Linked DNA regions of Caenorhabditis elegans. The protein of the gene in region 2 interacts with the protein of the main gene of each other region in a pairwise test. Each region holds a gene or a part of one and is shown on either strand. Other genes may lie near its edges.

Region 1 (5,823 bases), on a different chromosome or scaffold from region 2:
GTAAGGTGGTTTTTTTTATACAACCTCTTCAATTGTTTCAAGAATTGAGTGATTTGACCGCAATAGTCGAAATCGGCTTAGTACAAACATTATTTTGAAACTTTGAATTCATAGAAGTAGTTCAAAATTTCGTCACACTTCTCTGCTTTGCTTGTTTCATGACACGATTTTCTGCAAATTGATGAAATTTGTGAACTCTTGACCGTTGTTATCTTTATCAACTTTTGTTTATTCTCGAGAACAAATACATAAACAATTTTCATCTTCACATGAATACTTTTACCGGAATCTCCTTTTTCCATATTTCAGAGTGTGCTGCAAGACACACTTCACTTGATCGACATGATCAATTGCACAATACTCTTCAAACTCAATTCAGCAATTTGGTATCAGTTCATTTTTCTGTCCGTCAGTTTTCTATCGATTCATGCGCTGGACGGGTGAGTGGACGTTGGTCGAACGTGTTGATAAGAGTTTCCGGAAACATTTACAGAAGCGTCATGCTATATTTCCATACTGAGATACATCCGCAATGGTGTCGCAGATTGTTGAAGCCCAAATCGAGGACTGGAACTATTTTTGTGAACAGATCTAAAATATCTTCCTTCCATCCTTCTGATTAATTCTAATCATTCGAAGTTTTGTAGAATTTATACCGAGTTTTCACATTGAATTCTTGGAATTCGTGAGAGAATATGTGAAAATTTGCAATTTCTCAAACTATATCTTAAGTTTTCTGATCAAAGCTTTATTCAATTAATGAAAAAATAAACTGAAAGCTTTGGTGGGATTGTTGTTTTTTGATTTGTTTGGCAGTTGAATTTTCAATGTTCCAGGGGAGAATGGACTGGGGATAAGGTACGAACATTACAAAGTTTTTGGACTGAAAAAAGAAAAGAAACCGTAAATCCCAAAAGCAGTGAAAAGCGTAATCGAGGAAAAGGGAAATGAGAAAGGAAAAAAATCTCAAGATTTATTACCAAATGTCCCTTGAAATCACACCGTAGTTGGGACCGAAGAGAGAGAGAGAGAAAGAAAACTTGGAAAGGGGGAAAAAGTAGAGATCGTGGTGAAGCAGACAAAAGCATTGAGTGCAGCTTTGAACGGTTTCAGTGGGACTGAGAAAAAAGAGAGATTGAAAGAAAAAATATTTGTGCCTAATGTGCTCCGTGACGTCACAGGTTATCAGTTTTGTGGTGACGTGGCGGCAGATGTGGAAGAAGCCGCAGAAGTTGTTGTGGAGGCTGGAGATGTTTGATTGGCGCCGTTCTGAAAATTAATTCATTCAGAAAATGAAAAAAATCAGTTTAAATAATAGATGTTAGGGGCATGCAACATATTTATTTGAATCCGATAATCAATTTTTTGCATGCTAGTCAATGTCATATGTTAGTAATCACTTACACATGAGGTAGAAGTGTTAATTGTGGATCGTGTAAGAGTGCGATGAGGGTGGGCTCTTTGAGCATTTTGTCTCCGTCTCAACTGAAAACCATGCAAAATGCGGGTGATTTAGTTCCAAACATAAATAACAAAATTGGACAAACAAATTAGTTTCACACAATCTGATAAGGGCATACCTGTGCAGCTGCCGCGGCTGCCGCGGCGAGAGTCGCTGCGTTGGCACCCATCGGTGGAGCAAGACCGTGAGCTTCTCGGGTTCTCTTGAACTCGTCATACTCGTCACCGAGGATTTGTGCAATTTCTCCTTGCATGAATGCCCATGGCATTGCTGATCCGACTAATGGACATTTATCGCCTGATGGGCAGTACATATCACTGCTCTTGCATTGATCCTTGATGCTGCTCCGCGAGCATGGGAAGCAAAACTTGTGAATGCTGACTGTTGGGCATTGTACAAAGTGGGTGTCTTCTAGACGTTCATTGCACAGTGTACATCTCAAAACTCTCTCAATTGGGGCGATCCCTCTCCGATCCTTAACTCCCGGATGGTCTGGTGAATGAGTTGAGGTTGGCGAGGCAGTTGTCGTTTGGGCATCGCCTGAAAAATAGAAGATGATGATGATGAGGGGGTGATGACCCTGGGTGCCAGGCGCCGACAACGACGCCACAACCAACTACACTACCATCCTCTAAAACCGGTTCCGTTTTCAAAGTGTTGACCCCATATCTAGCCCTTTATTTCTCTCGAGGTCACTCATTCAACTCGCTACTCTTTTCTTCTAATTCTTCTAAATTCGGCTGGTTTTCTGTCGGGTCTATCGGTATTACGCAATTCGAGAGGGTGACAGAGAGACGATACACGGGCTAATCGGAGAGAGAGAAGGGGGCACTACTACTTTACGCAACAACCGGTTTTTTGGGACGATGTCAATTTTAAATTCTAACTGACATACCTCTCTGCACTTTTCCATATATTTCAGGCTTCTGCTCTTCGTCAGATTCACGTTTTCTTGGATTTGAATAAGTTGTGCTTGGAAGCATGCTCATCATGAATGGAGCCAAGAGATGAGAATTTGGGCCCAAGCTTCGAAGAGACTGTTGAATAAGATCGTCAACCGCCCGAGGATTGGCTTGTGTCATTTGCAGAAGTCGTTGATGGGTCAGAACTTGCTGAAAATAAATTTGTAAACTATTGCAGTTTTCAATTTTATATGTTTACCTCCAAGTTGTTCATAGTTGGCACATGGAATGGGGACGTGGGAAGTACCGTTGGCTGAGGTGTCCTTTGTGGGCTTATCCTTCCGATTCCATTAGCAGAAGTGACTGGTAATGTTTGAAGGGGTTGTTGTTGTGTAAGTGTAATATCTCGGAGGGATGTCTTTGCATTCTGTGGATCACTGATTCCAACTCCTTGGAGTTTCTTTTGTTGGCGTGTTTCTTCAAGTACGAGTTCAATTCTGAAACAGAAAAAGATATTTGGTGACAAAAAACAAAAAAAGTTCAATTGGTCTTGAAACCTTTTTAAAACTATAAGATCGTGAAGTCCTGCAATTTATAAAAAATTTCGGCAGAAAAATCGTCAAAAAAATATGTTCTTTTTCTAATTTTTTTCAAAAAAAAAATTCTTTAAAAACTTTAGGAAATCTATTACAGAACAAACTTTTAGCTTGCAGTCTTATAAGAAAAAGGGTGTCAAATTTTCATGTCCTGTATCAATATAAGAAAACTTGTGACTTTCACTTTGGAAAATTTTAAAATCGAAAGGAATTTTCATCATCATTATTTCCAAACAAACCTGTCTGATCCTTCATAATTGACGCATCCTCTGCAAACTGGCTCAATATAATCATTTATGATTGCCCACGGCCAGCGTGGCAAATCACACAGGTAACATTGTTGTCTTGGTAATTTCTCATTTGAATTATTATTCGCCTTCATTCCAGCAGTTGTTGCAGTTAGAAGTGAAGCAGAACCGTTGACAGAGGCCAATGAGACGGCGTTCGGAGCCGCGAGCATCTGGAGTGATAGAGAATAATCGACAGTATTATTGTTGTTAATTATAGAAGGTGTTGGAGAAAGAGACATCGATGCCTGCAGAAGAGCAGCCGACTCAGCGAACGAGCCCATTTCCACGAGAGGAATGATTGCAAGAATGATGGGGTAGAGGAATAGGAATGGCGCGTTTCAAGTTCGTGATGGAAGAGAGGGAGAAATTCTAGAGATAAGAAAGATTCCTGACCGAGACGAATAGGGTCGAGAGGTGAAAAAACTAGGCATGGTTTTTTAGTGATAAAAGAAGAAAAGCCGGCAGCTGATAACAGAACGCTGATGCTCTGGTTGCACACAAACAGGGTTGTTCCATGACTTGGTAAACTATTAGGGTAATCGAATATTTTTTTGTATTATTTCAAATAAACAATGGAAAATATCAAAACCATGAGCATGCGTGGGTCCGAACTATTACAGCGATGTGTAACACTTTTTTTGGATGACGAAGAACTCTATGAATAATCGACGAATAGAAGGAGACAGTAAGGGGCGAAGCACTGAGTGACGCATTGAGCACATTGTATTACTATAGTTGTGTACAAAGAATTGGCAAAGAAAAGCTGCAGGAGAAAAAATAAAAAGAAAAAGAGGTGGGTTCCGAGTCTTCGACCTCTCCTCATTCATATTCCACAAGACGTATGGATAGTGCATATCATTAGCATCGGATCTGCATCTTAATAAAGGAATTGGAATGGAAGAAGGCAACTCAAAATTGGCTCCGAAAATGCAAAAATGAGGAGACTCCCTCTGTTTTTGAGACCTTCAAATGTTTTGTTGGGGGAATAACTATTATCAAAAGTGATCAAAATTTCTGACTTATCACAGTTGCACAAAACATCAATTTGCTCAATTTTCAGATCAACATGTTCCTGTTTCTAGATTTTAGATGTTTTGTTATTTGTTATCAGTTCTAGATTTTCCTAGACGCTATAATGGCTAATTGTCAACAAGGCTTGAAAGGTCACTAAACCCCTCCTTATTGGAGAAAAACCCTTCCCAACAACTGATAAGCGGTACGAAGACCAAAGTAGAGGTGTGTGATTTCATTTTGAAAAGATAGAAACACAAGTGAAAGTCGAATTGGCGAGTCATGAGAATAAGTGAGAGAAACCTTCCGATAAGGCCATCCATAGATGTGCTAGGCCGACCAATATTTATTTGGAGCATAGTTCATTGATACTGAAAGCTCAAGAAAAACTATATGAAAGAAATATGGAGATTAGATCTCTCTCTGTGACATGGTGCACCACGTTGCACAATGGGGAAGAAAACGTGGATGTTTGGATGAAAGGAAAATGAAGAGAAATGGGAAGAAATGCAAATTTCATGTTGGCACAATAGATATGCAAAATAAATGGGGGGAAGAAGAATTCTCGATAAGTGCCTTTAACTGAAAAAAAAGATGATTCAGAAAGAATTATCATATTGTTTTAGAAAATTATGGATCTAAAAATGTAGAATAAACAATGTGTAATTGCACTACTGATATTTTGAACAAAAAACCTAAACCAAGATAATTTTGTAAACAACTTTGTTTCAACTCGGGGCTTTGAGCAGAGCATTTGCACATTTACTTTTTTTCAAGCTTGAGAAGGTGCTGTTAAACTATTCATGATTTTAAGCTGATAGGACTTTTCATCAGTATCCAAACAAAAAGAGCCGATCTTCCCACATTCGTATTTATAACTTTTAGCAGGAGTTTAAAATTCAAAAACGGGGTGCAAAGCGAAGTGACGGTCAGAAAACAAGAACAATAAAGAGGGTAGAGAAAGAAAAAAACACAAAAAATAGAAAAAAAAGAGATTGAAATGGTGACCTAGTATTCAGTATCCCAAGGAGAAGGACTACTACAGAAACTGATTGAAGGTCTTTTCTCTCTCTCTCTCTCCCTCTCTCTCTCTCCCTCTCTCTCTCCCTCCCTCTCTCCCTCAGAAAAGAACGGGCGAGGAAAAATGGGATGAAAGACGCAGACGCGCAGAGGTCAACCCTGTCGGGAGCGGAAGGATGATCGCCGCTCGCGGAAGGAAAAACGAGGATTGACCTTGGTGGTATGACCAAGAGGAATTGTGCGGAAAAAAGGTTCGTTACCAGGTAAGTAGGTAGAACAAATAGAATAGGTCTGGATAACTTTTTTCAAACTAACAGTGCATAGAATAAAATAGAAACTCTTTTTTCTATCTCTGTGGTGCGTCTTGTTTTAGATTTCCAACTTTTCTTGGCTCTGCCAATATTGACTTGGTAATCAGACAGAGTTGAAAACCTAAAGGAGAATTAGAGAAATTTAGTAAGTTATTCTTGGCGCCTGTGAGAGTTTTAATAGAGTTTAAGTTTGCGCCGACGAGCTCCGCAATGTATGCACAAGGGTGCATG
Region 2 (4,346 bases):
CGGAATTATTGAAAGAAATGAAATGAGAGTTGCTGAAAAGGATAAACGAGATGCAATTGCTCTCGAATGGCAACAGGTACATTTTTTATAGTTGAGGCGTGTTTTACGATTGGAAAAGCTTCAAAATAAATACATAACAGTTTAGATTTTCGTATTAAAAAAAGATACTCAAACTTTCCGATTCTTGCATTTGTCAACTATATATGATTTATAAAATATAATTTTTAGGTTGCAATGGTGCTCGATCGCTTCCTGCTTGTGGTGTTTCTCATAGGCACATCAATGTCGACATTTGTAATATTGAATCAGCGAAATCTTTTTGAATCTACATAATGACGGGTTAATCAATAAATTCATTTGTATATCTCCCAAACAATATCCAACTGAAAGTAGTTTTAGCTGGTGCTACTGAGCAATTTGAAAAATCGTTCCGAAAAAAGAAGGAAAACCTAGTGATTCAAATTTTGCAGTTGGAAATGATAATCATTTCCATTTTCAATTTTAAAATGATGATCTTTCTAGAAAATTTGAAATATTAATTTGATCGTATGCATTCATTTAGAATTGAATTTTTTAAGAAATAATTTTTACCAAAATTGAAATTGACAGTGTATATTGAAAAGGAAGTAATGAAGAATCATGTCATGAAAGAAGTTCACAAGAGTTCCTGCGAAATCAAGCAGCAGCTAACGCCTTATTTAGTTTGTGGCAGATCTCCGAAACGTCTCGGCAATTCACCAACTTCCCACCAACTAGCAATGATTTACCTAATTTATCCAACTTAAATTGATTGGCATAGCACATAGCAAAAGTCACTAAAGTAGCCCCCCCCCCCCCTCAATAGTTGAGGCATTTTGCCGAGGTCATACCAATTATGAAGTTCCGAACACCAGAAAGAGGTAATGAAACCAAAAGTCGTGATTTTATTTGATATGCTCTCTAGCATAAAAATAATACATTTTGCAGTGCCTACATAATTAAACGGCTCTACATATGTGTTGCATTTATTGAAGCATCTTATATTAGGTCGGCAAATAATTATTGACGTATGTTGCCATTTTACGATTTTTTGTAAATTTTATATATGTGAGTTATAGTAGGCAGTGAGCATATGAAAGCATATGAAGTTCATCTACTTTGGTCATCTGCGTAGTATTAAGATTTGAAAAAATCGAAAATTTAAAAAAAAATTTTTCCGTGATTTTTTGAGTTAGCCGTTAAAAACTTGAATACTCAGAGTTCGCTTTGTCTTTATTTTGTGCTTATGAAATTATCTTAATCTTTTCCTTCTAAAAGGCAACCTCATGACCTCATGTGTTTCATGTTTTTTCAATAAATTCCGATTTTGACACTCCCAAAGTCCATCTACTCTAATTCGATTAAATGGTGATGACAAAGAAACGAAAAGGGAACACTTTTTCATACGTTTCCCTAGATTCACTGAACATTTTGCTTTCCCCTACAGAACTTGAAAGTTTAGCCAACAGATTTCAAAAGATCAAATTTTCGTAAAAATGTGCTTTTTGTGCTCCTCATGATCAGATTCCGTTACTTTTTGATTTAAAACTGAAATCTAAGTGCATTCCTATCCCACGGATTTCCACAGCTCCTCCTCTTTCTTTTTTTCAATACAATTTGATCATTTTTATCTTTATACATACATATTTAATCGCAGGTGGTATGCTGTATGCTCTTCTTCTCCTCTTTGGAGGAGTTTCAACAGGTTTGATAATGTTCAGACTTTTTCAGTTATCCTTTTATTTTCAGTGAGCTCGTTACGAGTTGCTGTTGTTGGAGAAGGCGTCATTGGTTTGAGCACAGCTACAGCAATTCTTGATTTGGCAGAAAAGAGGAACATTCCCGCTCCAGTAAGTTAAATTTGAAAGTCACAGGTGTTCAAAGTTGTGTTTCAGGAAATCCACATTTTCCATCACAAACCTTTTGAAAAAATTCTCAGTCGCCACATCGCTGGTCTCTTCCGAATCGATAGTGGATCAGAGATCGATAGAAAATATGGTTACGATACATTTGAAAAGTTGGCAACTCTCTGGAGAGAATACGGTGGTCTAAGTGGTGTACAACTAGTCTCTGGGCACATATTATCAGATTCCAAGACAAAGTTGGATTCACAACGTGAATCGTATGGAAGCCTCGTGTACAACTACCGGGATCTCGCCGAGCCGGAGCTTTTCGGTCCAACGTCGCTTTTTGATCTACCAAGAAACACGACAACTCGTGGAATTCATTACACTGCTTACACGTCTGAAGGTCTTCGCTTTTGCCCATTTTTGAAAAAAGAATTAATGACAAAAGGAGTTCGATTCACTCAACGGAGAATTGGAAACTTAGAGGAACTTGGTGCAGAATTTGATGTTGTTGTTAATTCAGCTGGACTTCTTGGTGGAGTTCTAGCAGGTGATGATGCAGGGAACATGAAGCCAATTCGTGGAGTGCTCATCCGAGTTGATGCACCATGGCAGAAACATTTCCTCTACAGAGACTTTTCTACAATTACAATTCCGGTGTAAGCTTTGCTTTTCTTATTGTTTTTCAAATTTTTAAGATCTTTCAGTATCGACCATGTCTACATGGGAACTGTGAAACAAGAAGGAGCATTTGGGCCAAACAATGTGACATCTGCAGATATCCAGGATATCACTAGCCGTTATGTGGCATTGCAACCATCTTTCAAGGTGGGTTAAATATTACAAATTAGAAGCTAGAAAATAATTCCAGCGTGTTCACATGCTTTCATCATTCGTTGGATATCGTCCAGGTCGCAAGCAAGTTCGTGTCGAGAAGCAGATTCGAGAGACCAACGGATCCAAGAAGTTTACGGTAATGAAGATTTTGATGCATCTAAAATTCTGATATTCCTTCCAGGTCGTCCATAACTACGGTCATAGTGGAAACGGATTCACACTTGGATACGGTAGTGCAGTTCATGCCGCCCATATCGTTCTCGATTTGCCACTGGATGCTTATCACGGACTTGTCCCAGAACCTCTTCCCATTAATGCAACGATTTCCGAATGGGTTAAATATCTTGATGATTAGGGTAATGGCACTTGTAATTGAAAGTCATAAACAATTTATTCTAATTTTGAATGTTGTCTGTTTATCTTTAGGAAAAAAGTCCAAACACAAATGTTCAAGTTAACAATAAAAATATTTTATTTTATTTTACAGTATTAGACAATATTTAAGGCACTCAATTATTACAATAGTAGGGGAATGTGGTTTTTAAATGGAATTTTTTGAAATTAATTTCTCACTGCTTCCTTCTCATCACTTGAACTCAATGTTTTCGGGATCTCAGTTCGTTTTCGACGTCGTTCACATCTGCAAATATACCAAATTCAAAACTGGTCTACTGTGGATTACTGTACCTTGGACAATTTAAACTTTTCCTTTCGAAGCATTTCTTATGGTAGACTGCAAGACACGTGGCACATGACCGTGTATTTTCAGTAAATGGATATAGGATTTTATTTTTCTGATCTACGTTGATGTCGTCGCAAAGTTCGCAGAAGAATCCATTTCCAGCACAAGTCTCACATTCCTTAATTTTTAAAATTAAAATTTCAATAATAATCTCCAAAAACCAAACACCTCTTCAATATGCTTTCTAAAAACTGTATGGATCTGTTCCAAATCGGGTAACAACGTGCCATCGCACAGCTCACGGAGTTCTTTCGGTGAATACATGACAGAGTTATCGACAAAATGTGAGTGAGCATTGAGGTACTGTAGGATTCGGAGACGTCTTGCCGTACGGCAACTAACAAAGTAACACTTCATCAGAAGAAAGTTTCGACGCAGTTCGTTTACTCGGCGTAGTTCCTGAAAACTGTCAGTTGAAAATGTATATTTCTTCAATTTTATTTGCTGTGGGCAAATATCTGTCACTTGGCACAGCCAATGTTTTAACTGCAACTTCGCGTCATGGCGCCGTTCGGGGGTATAGCTCAGTGGTAGAGCGCTCCCTTAGCATGGGACACAGGTGATTCGCGAGTACGAGTTTTATGCTTCATCCGAGGTTCGCGCGTGCTTCGAATGGGTACTTGAAAACATGAGCAAAAATGGAGAAAAATGCTCGTCTTTGCGAACGAACGCGAGCATAAAGGAGGCATTGCGAAAACAATTTATGCTTCTTTTTTTTCACTTATATCAGCTGAAAAAGTTCAAAATATAACTTCAGTTCTTGTATAAGCCACCCCCACTACCCGAAGACATGATTAAGCCACCTCAAGACATTTTCGCAAACACGAGCATTGTGTGCGTCGAAGCATTTTGCTTACACTGCGAATCACCTGTGGGAGAGGGTTGGGGTTCAATTCCCCATA
Region 3 (5,257 bases), on a different chromosome or scaffold from region 2:
GCGAAGACGTGTAAGACGATAACATCAAGTGTTGAAAGCTAGATGTTGAAATAAGGTCATTCAATTTTCATTTTCAATTTGATGAAACCTGAATTTTTCTTGGAATTTCCTACAAAAAATTTGATGATTTGTGGTTTCTTATAATTACTACCTGAAAAGTCCCAGTTGTCTATTGTATATACATGCCAAACTTTTGCTTTTTTGAGCTTTTTTTTCAACCCAGACTTCACAAATACTTAACATTTGGTATGTTGGTAACTTTTTTGTCATAACACATTTTTCGAACTTTGTTGTATTTTTTGTCAAAAAATGAGTTCCGTATTTTTTCTATTAGTTTTGCAGCCTCTAATAGTGTTGCAGTCTTTATTAGTCTTTCACCTCTACGGGTCAATCCAAAATTTGTCTTACAAGCAAGATTGATTCAGGAAACACGGTAATTCTTTCTACAATTGTTCTGGCACTATATAATATGTTCTAGTAAGGTTATTTACAAGTTACAGCTCATAATATTACTAACAATTTGTTTTCCCTTTTGCACAAATACATTTTAATTGTCAGATCAACTTTAGGTATCCATATTTCTTAAATTACCAAAGAGTAGTTGAAAAAAAAGAAGCTAGAGCATATGACGGTCATTTTTGTCTGCAAGAACATTTGAACCAGCAAGCCCGTCTCACCCAATGCGGTGATAGTGTCAGGTGGTAGATTTGTATCGAGTGCTCCACAGAAGAGCAGCAGCTAAAGAGCATAGGGGTAGAAAAAGAAGAACGTATGTGTGTGTGTGTGCTTCGCCAGAATTGTGATACGTAGAGACAAGACGACGGAGATTGGTTGATGAGACGAAGAGAGAAACTCGGGACCCGTTGCTATCTTCTTTATCTTTAGACCGAAACTTTGAAGATGAAGAAGATGAAGCGTCCGGAAATATAACACACTAATAACCCTTCGTTTTATCATTTTTGACTCAAAATCATACTGATTAGCATCAATCGTTCAACCAGTTCTTTCTCATCCTTAACCATCCATGAAAATCCTGACACCTGTTGTGCCTAGAATTTGGTTTCAAATGGCTTGTACTTTCTCTCCTCCTTAACAACAGCAGCTGTCCACTGCGTTAGAAAACCGGAAACCCGGCACGGATCCGTGTTGGCTGCTGCCCCTGAAGAGCTTGGTTATCTTTTTTGCTAGGTGTCACAAGTGTTGATGAATTTTTGGAACCAACCTGAGCTTTTTTTCTTTTTGCGTTTTTTGTTCTACCCAGTCGAGTGATAAACGTTAATTGTATGTGTTCTAAAAAACAACACATTTTCCGAGAAAATTATGTGAAATTTGTGTATATTTAATCAAAAGTTTAGAAGCATAAAGAATATAATATAAAATATAAATTGCTTTATTTTATTTTTAGTTTTGGTTTTTTGTGTAGAATTATACGACCCTTTTTAAATTTTATGATAAATTTCTAATAATCCAGATAAATTTTGCTCTGGAACCATATTAAATTTGAGTGTATGGCTTCAAAACCTTCTTTTTTTAATTTCAAAAATAGAGTTTCCACTTAAAAGTTACAACATCAGAAACTCACTTCCTCACAACGTTTATCTTCAAATATCACGAAACGAGGTACATATATATCTAAAATCTTAATCATAATCTTCAGTTTTATCCTAAAACTCTCGAACAAGATGTTTCTGGCCACATGATTTTTTAACACATGTCTGAAGATTCTTGGTTGTTGGCTCCTAACAACGCCTGCCTTCCTATGTCATTGCTCAATTTTTGACAACTTCCAAACAGAACCCATATTTACTCCTTCAGTCACACGACAATTTAACTGATTTTCCTGATTGCCCCCTTTTCGTCCCGCTTTCCTAACTAAAAGCCGTCACTTCTCATTTGCCAACACAAATTGACATGATGTTTGCATGTAAATAATCGAACCGATCTATAAGCAAAGCGTGTGTTTATAACATGTATTTTTCCTCAAACACCACACGTTTACCTTTTATTCTCATGACTTCCGGTTGCCATTTTCAGGAAGGATAACGAGGACAACAAAAACTGGTAAAAACATTTGAAAAGCAACGTATTCATTTAAAGTGATGTAAAAAATGGAAGGCATCGAGGAATCATTTGCACCTTTATCTCCCAAAAGCCCATTTGCACGCAGAAACGGAAGAAGGTAGATTTTTCGAAATTTTTTAGATTTTCAAACTTTAAAAAATTTAATGATTTAGGTTTGCCAGAATCCTAATGCACTCAAATTTAACATTTCGTTTTCAAAATACTTATCTTTGCTTGCGCAAAAGATATTTTGAATAAAGATTTGAGGTCTGGAATTAACCATTTGAGCTAATCGGAAAAGAATTAAGAGAAAAACGGGCGAAACCCGACATTTAGATTCATCCAACTTGTTTCAAAAGCTTTCAAAAAAAGTATAATAATTTTTTAAGCACCGTGTTAATGATGCAGGGTGGCCTATAATTGTGGGCCATCGTGTAACGTAATTTCCCTTCTGTTGTGGAACTTTTTTTCAAAGTATATTTGAAACATAAATTTAATTTTATGTAGACAACTTCAATTTTACTGTAAAAACAACAATTCACATCATATGCATAAGAAATTGTTAAAAGAAGAGTAACAGTTTGGTTTGTTTTTTCTTCGTGCTACAACTGATTCTACAATCTGCTTAAAATAAATATTTTTACCAAGACGTCTTGAAGCAATTCTAAGAGTTGCAATACAGACCTGTCTTGTATTTTTGTTCTTGAAAAATAACTATGTGAAAGGTCTAAAATTCTCCAGTTTTACTAAAAACGTTTCGAAACATTGAATTGCTTCCAACAACCTTTTGATAAATGTCCTTCCATAAATCTAACCAGTGGCCCACATTTTGCAATTTGATTTTTCTGCAATCACTCTCTGGTCCATCTCTTTCTCCCCTTTCATCCCAATCAAAATTGAATGTTTCATCGCTTATCCGCTTGTCTACCGCCACGACCGGCGAGTGCAGCTAGCGTACGATGTAGTGAGCGTGGGATTACACACTCACCAACAGAACCTTGAGGAGAGACCTCTCGGCTCCTATCTATTCCATCTCAATATTTCATGTAATTGATTGAATGACTTTATTTTGGACTTTATCTATTCACTGACTACTTGCAAAGATGGATCCAGAAATACCAGGGTACAAAATATGTTGAATTTGTAGTAGAATGTTTATAAATCAAAAAATTCACTTACGGTCTCCCTCATTATATCCATTTATTTGCAAAAAATTTAGTTAGGTGAATTTAGAAAAAGGTGGTTTTTGTGTTTATCGGTTGCCCAGATAAAACAGTGCAATAAAATTGGAAAAATAATGAAGTGTATTGTTGTACATAAAAAATTTACTATTGGTTACAGTGCAACATCGAGTACTGTGAGTTTTTGAAAAATATTGATATCAAAAATTTATTTTTTTTACCGTTACAACAAGAATGGCAGGCGTTCGGCAATTCGCATCAAATTATCCACCAATTTTAGCAATTCAAGCAGTTTTCAACGAGATGCACATTTTTCAGAATCAGTGCCCCGGTGGCCGAGCGGTCGAAGGCGTGAGACTTATGATCTCATTGGGTTAAACCAGTCGCGGGTTCGAATCCCGCCCGGGGCAATATCCTTTTTTTACTATTAAATCAAGTTTTACCAAAGAATAACCATTAAAAGAAAAATAATTCGAACTGTACATTAAATAATTGTAACTACTTCAGCCCTTTTTAACCAAGTTTAGGCCACTATAGAAACATTTTCAGTGCAAAGTTTTCAGCGCATCCCCAACTTTAATTTATTTTACCCAACTTTAGCCAGTTTTTCACTAAATGCATTCCTAAAGCTGATAAGGTTGGTAGATATGTTGCGGCGTTCTTTCAAGAAAATATCTTTACATTTCTTCACCACAAACATTTTAATTGGAATATTAATGTTTTAGTATCAACTTTGTGAGTTGAAAAATTTTTGAAAGAAGCAAATTTTGCTAGCTGGAAATAATTCATATACTACTTCACTGTTTATTTCGTTGAATATCAACAATTTATTGTGTTTCAGTCTTCGCATTCAACGACTAGTCGACTGTCAACACTTCCATTATTCGTCTGTTGAATTGGGTCCCGTCCGTGTTGCCATCATCGCAATAAACGCTGACGAGAATGCAACAGAGCGGATAAAAATGCGTGTGGAAAGTGAATCAAATTCATGGTGAGTTGGTCATTCCTTCTGTTTCCAATTTGTCTTCAAAAATTCGTGCTCCGTGGTGTTTCTCTCGGTTTTTCTTTCAATGTTCTGCCACACAGAAATCAAACAAAAAAGCCACGAGTGAAGTCTCATGGGAGATGAGAATAAAGGCTGAATAAAGTTAGTACGAGGAAGAACAAAAAAGAAAAAAGAAAGAAAAACGGAAACTTGAAAGGTTTTCCATCATTGATTCATTCAGGCTTGTCGAACGTTCTCGGGAGGATTGGGCAGTCTTCGACAGACAGCTGCATCGTTGTGTGTTCGAACGAAGGCATTCACGACTTGACGAGCTGTTTCCTCTTATTCATCTGGAAACGGCAAAGTTCGAGGTGACGGCTTCTTTTCAAAATCACTAGTCATCACATTTGATGTTTACAGGAAGTTCTTGTCAAGTATACGGAGCGATTATCGGAACTCACTGGCAGCATTATAACGTGCTATCCTGTTCTGAAATTTTTAGAAGTAAGCGAAATTGTTTTTAACTCCAAACTTCAATTTAATTTAAATTTAAAACTGGCTATGGTTTAGACTTTTTACAGTATCTCTTCAAATTAGAAAAGTTAAATTAAAAAAGATTCGAATAAACCAAATGAACCCAAGACGATAAATATTTCATTTCAAGTATTGCAAACATTTCAGATAGGAAAATTTGTTTTCCTTTCTGACAGAATAGTAAGTCTGTATTTCAAAGAGTTATTCAATTATTTGAACCTTTCTCACAAAATTGGTGAGTTCTAGTACAACCTTGAAAAAATATCTTGTTCTTCTTATGATTTTGACACCACTCGCTCTTAACTGCAGTGCATATTTCATTTCTGTGTTTGTTTTTATTGCAAAACATATGTACAATGTAATGCACACCTACATTATGCATTAGTATCAGGACTTCGTCAAACAAGTTTTTTTTTCATTCTTTTTGCATTTGTTTCAGTCAGTTCTGAAACTGTTCTCTCAAACTATCACTTAACAAAAAATTACGATCTTCTAA

What was found. Proteins that work in one complex are often made in the same cells at the same time.
Region 1: the proteins of ddo-3 (region 2) and ifbp-1 interact in a two-hybrid assay, tested with the Caenorhabditis elegans proteins (one large-scale study listed by BioGRID).
Region 3: the proteins of ddo-3 (region 2) and rrc-1 interact in a two-hybrid assay, tested with the Caenorhabditis elegans proteins (one large-scale study listed by BioGRID).

Annotation. Positions count from the first base shown.
Region 1 is NC_003283.11:13,369,368-13,375,190, forward strand, and holds ifbp-1 (Interferon regulatory factor 2-binding protein 1 & 2 zinc finger domain-containing protein), read right to left. Parts: upstream 3,654-5,823; 5' UTR 3,532-3,653; coding exon 3,200-3,531; intron 2,862-3,199; coding exon 2,624-2,861; intron 2,575-2,623; coding exon 2,358-2,574; intron 2,003-2,357; coding exon 1,581-2,002; intron 1,486-1,580; coding exon 1,405-1,485; intron 1,270-1,404; coding exon 1,186-1,269; 3' UTR 728-1,185; downstream 1-727. Other genes in the region: srx-125 (7TM GPCR serpentine receptor class x (Srx) domain-containing protein), read left to right, coding at 310-440, 494-623.
Region 2 is NC_003281.10:6,586,217-6,590,562, forward strand, and holds ddo-3 (D-aspartate oxidase 3), read left to right. Parts: upstream 1-1,647; 5' UTR 1,648-1,680; coding exon 1,681-1,723; intron 1,724-1,767; coding exon 1,768-1,868; intron 1,869-1,913; coding exon 1,914-2,524; intron 2,525-2,572; coding exon 2,573-2,693; intron 2,694-2,736; coding exon 2,737-2,838; intron 2,839-2,883; coding exon 2,884-3,057; 3' UTR 3,058-3,182; downstream 3,183-4,346. Other genes in the region: acr-21 (AcetylCholine Receptor), read left to right, coding at 1-76, 229-333; F20H11.1 (Differentially expressed in FDCP 8 homolog), read right to left, coding at 3,264-3,342, 3,390-3,562, 3,613-3,843. UniProt on the Caenorhabditis elegans protein: Selectively catalyzes the oxidative deamination of acidic amino acids. Plays a role in the egg-laying events and maturation processes of the reproductive organs.
Region 3 is NC_003284.9:9,828,062-9,833,318, reverse strand, and holds the start of rrc-1 (GTPase-activating protein rrc-1), read left to right. Parts: upstream 1-2,030; 5' UTR 2,031-2,108; coding exon 2,109-2,179; intron 2,180-3,015; exon of another isoform or gene 3,016-3,164; coding exon of another isoform or gene 3,165-3,184; intron 3,185-3,567; exon of another isoform or gene 3,568-3,652; intron 3,653-4,083; coding exon 4,084-4,233; intron 4,234-4,468; coding exon 4,469-4,598; intron 4,599-4,647; coding exon 4,648-4,731; intron 4,732-5,257. UniProt on the Caenorhabditis elegans protein: Functions as a GTPase-activating protein (GAP) for ced-10/rac-1 and CDC42.